Linked DNA regions of Rattus norvegicus. Each later gene encodes a partner of the first gene's protein in a complex. Links are inferred from orthologs where the notes say so. Each region holds a gene or a part of one and is shown on either strand. Other genes may lie near its edges.

Region 1 (4,168 bases):
TGAGTTTTTGAACTGACTTCCTTGATAATGAATGATTTGGGAGTGTAAGTCAAATAAACCCTTTCCTCCCCAGCATCACAGCAAGAGAAACCCTAAGATAGCAGCCATCTCAAACTGTTTATACATTCTGGAACAGTACGTTGGGAGAATAGAGAGTTATATAAACGAATTGGGGTGCTGATGATGGGTAAGGACAGAGCTCTAGTTGTCTCAGGAACTATTAAGTCTGAGCCATTAGCAACGGATTTCAGAGTAACAGACACAGAATGACATTGAAGAGACCGCTCCGCTCGGTACTTGATGGGGGTAAGGCCTGAGAGTCAAGTGGTGAATTTGAAGTCTATCATTAAGCTAAGTAAGGGTAAAGGAGAAAAGACAAAGGCCTGTTACTTTGTTCTTTTTTCTAGAGACTGTAAGCTTCAAGATACGTCTTGCTGTATTCTCTAGCATTCAGAAAGCTGCCAGACAGAATTTGTGGAAAATGGAGTGGTGGTAGAGGTATTTTGAAGGGCTATGCTTAAGGGTCAACTGGCTTGAGTGAAGTATTAATAAAAGTTAGGTAACAGTGAAAGTCGTTTGGGGATCCCAGGGTTCTGTCTTTGAGGCTTTCTCTTTGAAGGACACTTGGAAACCAGAGAATCTCAACGAAGAACTGATGTACACAGGTTTGGTTTTTTGGTTTTTTCTTTTTTTGTTTTTTTAAGACCTTGGGAATGTTCTGTTCCTGACACTTCACGAAGCTTCGTTGGTCTAGGAAAGGAACAGTAAGTACCTTTTAGGACTGAAAGATGAATTAGCTGAAAATGGAGGGCTGGCCATGTCTGTTCTCTTCAGTTACAAGCATTCCCTTAACGCACAGCTACTAAGACTGCTGGGCCCTCCGACCCCGTGAGAGTTATTTTCAGGGTTGGGTAGGAACAGACTACCCTAGCCTGGACCAAGACCGCTCCAGGCTTCCAAACTATCCCCTCCGGTAGCCTACCCAGTTCTCTCACAGCCCAGCCCCAGGGCGGCCACCTCGGCTCCGCCCTCTCTTCTTCCTCCTTTTCCTGCTCTCCCCCGCCCCACTTCCTTTCCCTACGTCCGCCCCCTCCTCGCTCCCACCCAGGCTCTGCGCCCTCCCACGACCGCTCCCTTTTGGTCCTCCTTGACTTCCCCTCCTCCTGGCTATCACCGCCCTTTTCAGGAGGACGGAGCAACCCCGTGCTTCATTCACCCAATGATGAGTCGACTTAGGGTGGGGCGGGACTTGGGCTAGAGCGGAAGTGGTGGCCGGAACGGAAGTGCAGCTGCCGCCGCCACCGCCGCCGCCGATTCCTGAGCCGGGTAGCCACTGCCGCTGCCGCCGCCACTGCATCTACTGTCGCCGCCACCGCCGCTGCCGCCAGCATCGCCTGAGGAGTGAGTCCGGGAAGGACGTAGTCGCTGCCCTTCGATCTTCCCGGAAGCGCCTTTGCTCCCTACAGTCCTCCGCGGTGAGTGCGGCGCGGCTCCCAGGGGCCCCAGCGCGAAGCCCCTTCTCGGGCGGCGGCTGCGGCCAGTCTCGCTGCCGCCCCTCCCCGCTTCCGGCCGGGCCTGCGTCTCCGCGGGAAGCCGGGGCTTCTCTCTTAGCGCTCCGTACGGGGTGCGGCCGGGCCTGCGTGTCTGGAGACCACTGGGCCGCGGACTCCCCTCGGCACCTCCTCTGCTCAGCGCCGCCCCTGCCTGCTCCCTTCAGGCCCGGAGCCATCCCTCTGGGCCTGTCAACCTTGTTCATTCTTTGTGACTTTCAAAAATTGAAATGTAGTCGAAGGCGGGCGAGTTCCCGAGCCGCGACGCCCCTGCCGCACTCCCCTGGATGAGTAAGGGTTTAACCTTGGCGACAGCTGGGGTGAATCCCTCTCCCCCTTTGCAGTAAAGCTGTTTCATCATCGCTGGTGTGGGAAACCCAGCTGGACCCGAGATCCCCTGACAGCAGGGTTGATGTTTGAATTAAGAAATGGGGGGAGAACAAAATAACAAGAAATGGATTTGTCTGAACCATTTACTGATTCAAACCGGAATTCCCAATGGGGTGGGGGAAGATCAGGCTGAGTATTGAGTCTTTCTCTTGATATTTGTCGTCATTTACTGCCAGAATCTCATGTGTCCGCGCCCCAAATTCATTCATCCATACGCGTTTTTTGTTTTTTTTCCATATATATATATATATATATATATATACACACACACACACACACACACACACACATAGAAATTTGTCTAGTAACCTCACTGAGGAAGGAGTAGGTGAGATGTGGACCCTTTTTTTTGCAAGATGAGTGCATCTGGGTCTGTTGCAAATGGAGAACTTGCATGCATCGAGGATTCCAAAGGTGGCAGCGTTGGTGAGAATTTGCTAACCTCTGTAAAAATGCATGGCTCGTGTCCTTGCGTTCAGTACATTTTCTCTGGTGAGACCAGATAGCATTCGACTCTTGATTTGACTTGCCTGGTGTGGGAGGTGGAATTTGGCAAGATGTTACAAATCTGTAAAATCCCGGGAGCCGATGCAGAAAGGTGCAGCACTTTAGAGAATATGGAAATTACATTTCTCACTGTATCTCAGGTGTCCCTGTGAGACCATCCAGACCTACAGTTTATAGGACTGAGCAGGTGCTTACTCAGCATCACACATCTAGCTTCTGCAAATTTATACAAATATTACTGGGTTCTTGGTGGATTTCTCTTGACCACCCTCCAGTGCATTCCATTTCTTTGGGTTGCCCAAGTCTCTTTTTTTTTTTTTTTTTTTTTTTAATTTAAAGATCTATGCCTTAGCATTAAATAGCTGGAGAACGCCGGTTTTTTTTTTCCTTCCCCACCCAAGTTAGAATTTTAAGCATGAGCTTAGAAAAGAAAAGCTGAAATCCTGTACCAAATGCTAAATGATTTTCTTAGCCTCTGCCTTCCAACTATAAGAAACCATTCACTCATCTTACAGATGAAGTCTTTATAAGAAATGAGGTGATTCGGCCTAAACCACACACCTACTTACAGATTGAATATCCTCTTTCATCGGTGGCAAGTATTTATGGACTGTCGTCCCCTGGAGTGTGGCTCCTACCCTGTTATCTTCCATTTCCCATCATGCAGTGCTTGGGTTATATTGAAGCCATTTTAGACTTGGAGATGTATGGATCAGGGAGGCAGCCTGTGTGGAAACCAGGCCGAGCACATTCCCTTGATGCTCACTCCCTAGGCAGAGTCCCCAGAGATTTGAGCTGCTGCAAAAAGTGCATTTTTCCCATTTGGCTGTGAATCCAAAAACAGCACTATGAGGTAAATGTGATTCAGTTCTTTTCTGTATTGTTTTCTAGCTGTGATCTTCAGGAGTTAATTCGTCTCTGCTTCTTAGCTCCCCTGTCTCCACTGTTGTCTCGAGACCTTCCGTAAACTGTGTGCTGAGTACAAGCCTTTGGTTTTGTTTTATTTTAATCCTTGACTTCAGTTTCTTATTTCTCCCTTTCTGATAAGATACAATCTTACTTTTTCCACTTGCTATGAAAAATAATCTATAATGTTACATGTAGTACATCCAGTATTTCTCCTCTGGACTGTACAAATGATATCTGTTTCCCTCATCCCCACCTCTTTTGTTGTGTAGCCCAGCCTAGGCTCAGACTCACCACTCAGTCTTCGCCCCTCTGCCTCTTGGGTGCTGAGCTTACAGATATGCCCCCAATTTCTAGGATACAGAAATTCTTAATACTAATAAAGTTAATAAACAAATTGAACGTGAATGGGTGTATCTCCTGTGATGTTTAAATATATGTGTATGTTGTATAATGCTTAAATAGCCTATCTCAGACTTGATCTTTTTTTATGGTGAAAATTAAGTTTTTTTCTAGCCCACTGAGAAATACAGAACAATGTTGTGTATAGTCAGGGTGAAGTGCATAACACAAGGGAATTTGTAACTTACATCCATTGATCAGCCTTTACCTTGTTTTTGACTGTACATATACACGAGTTCACATTCTGATTAGGAATAGTATATATGCCCTATAGCATAGAAACATATAGAAACTACCCGGGTGACTTAATCATTAGCTACCGAGGTATCGGCAGGTAACCAGCCCGTGATCACACTACTCACTACTCCCCACTTGTGTGCCACCTTCCTTGTGAGCACTGTAAGCATGAATTC
Region 2 (3,648 bases), on another chromosome or scaffold:
ACTGAGTGCTCTCCCAGACGTCCTGAGTTCAAATCCCAGCAACCACATGGTGGCTCACAAACATCTGTAATGAGATCTGATGCCCTCTTCTGGTGTATCTGAAGACAGCTACAGCATACTCATGTATAATAAATAAGGAAATCTTTTTTTAAAAAATGAAAAAGAAAAGAAAGCAGGTAGTGGATTTCAAATTTCAGGGCAGCTCAGGAAGTTTGAGGCTAGCTTGGGAATCCTGTCTTCAAGAGCAAAACTTGGCTTGATGGTGCAGATCAGCAATGCTACCACAAAAGGAGGTAGAGGTAGTAGGATCACAGGTATCCTCTGGAAGCCAGGCCAGCCTGGGCTACATGAAACCCTACCTCAAAAAAAATTGAAGATTTGATGGTGTTCTTTTTTTTTTTAAGATTTATTTATTTATTGTATGTAAGTACACTGTCACTGTCTTCAGACACTGGATCCCATTACAAATGGTTGTGAGCCACCATGTGATTGCTGGGATTTGAACTTAGGACCTCTGGAAGAGCAGTCAGTGCTCTTAACCACTGAGCCATCTCTCCAGCCCTCCCCCCCCCCTTTTTAATCGTTTTTCTTCATGAACCTTGTGTAGCCCTGGCTGTCCTGGAACTCACTCTGTAGACCAGGCTGACTTCAAACTCTGAGATCCACCTGCCTCTGCCTCCTGAGTGCTGGGATTAAAGATTTACATGCTCTGACTGTTACTGCCACTGCTGCCACCACCACCACCTCCACCAATGCATGTTTTTAGTCCTAAAACTTGGAAGGCAGAGGCAGCTGGGTCTTTGTGAATTGAAGCCAGCCTGGTCAGCCTGGTCTACATAATGATTTCCTGACCAGCAAGTGTTATATAGTGAAACTCTTTATCAAAGAAAGAGAGAGAGAGAGAGAGAGAGAGAGCGAGCACGATGGAGTGATGGCTCAGCTGTTAAGAGCACTGTCTGCTCTTCCAAAGGTCCTGAGTTCAATTCCCAGCAACCACATGGTGACTCACAACCATCTGTAATGGGATCCGATGCCCTCTTCTGGTGTGTCTGAAGACAGAGACAGTGTACTTGTCATATAAAATAAATAAATAAAATCTTAAGAAAAAAAAGAGAGAGAAAGAAAGAAAAAGAAAAGCCGGGCTGGGGTTGGAGATTTAGCTCAGTGGTAGAGCGCTTGCCTAGCAAGCGCAAGGCCCTGGGTTCGGTCCCCAGCTCCGAAAAATAGAAAAAAGAAAAAGAAAAAAAAAAAAAAAAAAAAAAAAAAAAAAAAGAAAAGCCGGGCTGGAGAGATGGCTCAGTGGTTAAGAGCACTGACTGGGGGTTGGGGATTTTGCTCAGTGGTAGAGCGCTTGCCTAGCAAGCGCAAGGCCCTGGGTTCGGTCCCCAGCTCCGAAAAAAAAAGAAAAGGAAAAAAAAAAAGAGCACTGAGTTCAATTCCCAGCAACCACATGGTGGCTCACAACCATCTGTAATGAGATCTGATGCCCTCTTCTGGTGTGTATGAAGACAGCTACAGTGTACATGTATAAATAAAATAAATAAATCTTTAAAAAAAAAGAAAGCCGGGTTGGGGATTTAGCTCAGTGGTAGAGCGCTTGCCTAGCAAGCGCAAGGCCCTGGGTTCGGTCCTCAGCTCTGACAAAAAAAAAAAAAAAAAAAAAAAGAAAAGAAAAGAAAAGAAAGAAAGAAAGAAAAAGAAAATTGAAAAAAAAGAGAGGGCTGGAGAGGTGGCTCAGTGGTTAAGGGCACCCGACTGCTCTTCCAGAGGTCCTGAGTTCAAATCCCAGCAACCACATGGTGGCTCACAACCATCTGTAAAGAGATCCGATTCCCTCTTCTCGTGTATCTGAAGACCGCTACAGTGTACTTATATATAATAAATGAATAAATAAATCTTTAAAAAAAAAGAGAGAGAAAGAAAAAAAGAAAAGCCAGACTATAATAACATAGAGAATAAGAAAGACTTTTGAGGGTCTTCCTCTGCTTCATAAAGGGAGTCATTAGAGGCCAATAGGATGACCTTGGCACCTTGGCCTTCTAGACAGAGAACCAGGAAAAGACAGGTGGTGTCTTTAGAGAGACTTTCTAGCTGGGGTGGGGGAACCTTCATCTCCAGGCAAGGGGTAACATGGATGACCAGGGCGGTGACTTCTCTGTCCTGCCAGGTGGAAGGTGGGTGGCCGCCACCAGAGAGATGGTGCGAACAGCTCTTCTCCAGCGTGGTGCCTGTGCTGCTTGGGGGCTCCGAGGAGGAGCCTGGGGGCCGGCAGCTTCTCGACTTGGACTGCTTCTTGTCCGATATCTCCGACACACTCTTCACCATGACACAGCCCAGCCCCTCGTCCCTGCAGCTGCCCTCAGAAGACGGTGAGCAGTGAATTGGGGGGAGCAGGGGGGAGAAGACTGAAATGTCTTCCCAGCCTGCAGTTTCCAACCTCACCACTGTCCCTCCAGCTTATGTTGGCAATGCTGACATGATCCAGCCAGACCTGACGCCGCTGCAGCCCAGCCTGGATGACTTCATGGAGATATCAGGTGGGATGGGTCCTTCCTCCCCAGGTAGGGCAGACTCAAAAGAAGGGGTCAGGTTAGGAAAAAACTCTAGGAGACTGTAAGGCTTTATGCCAGTGGGAGAATGAATGGTACTTTAACTTGAGATGGAGGGGGAGCGGGTTAGTTGGAATTCAAGGCCTTGTGCCTAGAAGGCAGGTGCTCTACCACTGAGCCACGCCCCCAGCCCCTCACTGGGGGATTCTAGGCAGGGGCTCTACCACTGAGCCACACCCCCAGCCCCTCACTGGGGGATTCTAGTCAGGGGCTCTACCACTGAACCACGCCCCCAGCCCCTCACTGGGGGATTCTAGGCAGGGTCTCTACCACTGAGCCATGCCCCCAACCCCTCACTGGGGGATTCTAGTCAGGGGCTCTACCACTGAGCCACACCCCCAGCCCCTCACTGGGGGATTCTAGTCAGGGGCTCTACCACTGAGCCACACCCCCAGCTCCTTCCTCACTGGGGGATTCTAGGTGGGTGCTCTACCACACATCCTTTTTGGTCTGGGATGAGAGAATCCTTGGGTTCAATCCCAAACACTTCGTAAGCCACTGTGACTGACAAGAGAATTCAAGGTGTCGAACCTCTTGTCTATTTTTGAGACGGGGTCTCAGTATATAGTTCTGGAACTCACTGTGTAGACCAGGCTGGCCTCAAACTCACAGAGATTTGCCTCCTTTTGTCTCCCAAATGCCAGAATTAAAGGCATGCATAATACACCCAGTTTAGCTTCAAGGGTTTTTTGTTGTTGGTGGTGTTTTGTTTTGTTTTGTTTTTTTAAGTGTTTTGCAAAGTGGCAGGTTTTCTCAGACTTCTCTTTTCTTGGGTTACTGAGTTTCTGATGTGTCCGGGTGTTTCCAGATACCCTGACCCGGTCAGTATGAATCCTTTTCTCTCTCTCTCTCTCTCTCTCTCTCTCTCTCCCCTCCCTCTCTCTCTCTCTCTCTCTCTCTCTCTCTCTCTCTCTCTCTCTCTCCCCTTTCATTTCTTTTGAGACGGGATGTTTTCCTTTCTGTTTCTGTGACAAATGCTCTGACCAAAGGAAGGAAAGGGTTTATCTCACCTTAAAGGTTACAGTCTGTCACTCAGGGG

What was found.
Region 2: the proteins of Ywhab (region 1) and Mlxipl are in contact, whole or in part, in a crystal structure (PDB 6YGJ), measured with the Homo sapiens proteins. The link is inferred for Rattus norvegicus from reciprocal best matches to the Homo sapiens genes YWHAB and MLXIPL. Residues at the interface, in NP_003395.1 of Homo sapiens: Gly55, Arg58, Ser59, Trp61, Arg62, Ser65, Ser66, Gln69, Lys70, Arg129, Val178, Tyr181, Glu182, Asn185, Leu218, Gln221, Leu222, Asp225, Asn226, Leu229, Trp230; in NP_116569.1 of Homo sapiens: Asp118, Ile120, Arg121, Asn124, Ala125, Trp127, Arg128, Ala129, Trp130, Tyr131, Ile132, Tyr134.

The regions. Positions count from the first base shown.
Region 1 is NC_086021.1:173,077,750-173,081,917, forward strand, and holds the start of Ywhab (14-3-3 protein beta/alpha), read left to right. Parts: upstream 1-1,321; 5' UTR 1,322-1,475; intron 1,476-4,168. UniProt on the Homo sapiens protein: Adapter protein implicated in the regulation of a large spectrum of both general and specialized signaling pathways. Binds to a large number of partners, usually by recognition of a phosphoserine or phosphothreonine motif.
Region 2 is NC_086030.1:27,193,039-27,196,686, reverse strand, and holds part of Mlxipl (carbohydrate-responsive element-binding protein), read left to right. Parts: intron 1-2,167; coding exon 2,168-2,369; intron 2,370-2,456; coding exon 2,457-2,537; intron 2,538-3,648. UniProt on the Homo sapiens protein: Binds DNA as a heterodimer with MLX/TCFL4 and activates transcription. Binds to the canonical E box sequence 5'-CACGTG-3'. Plays a role in transcriptional activation of glycolytic target genes. Involved in glucose-responsive gene regulation.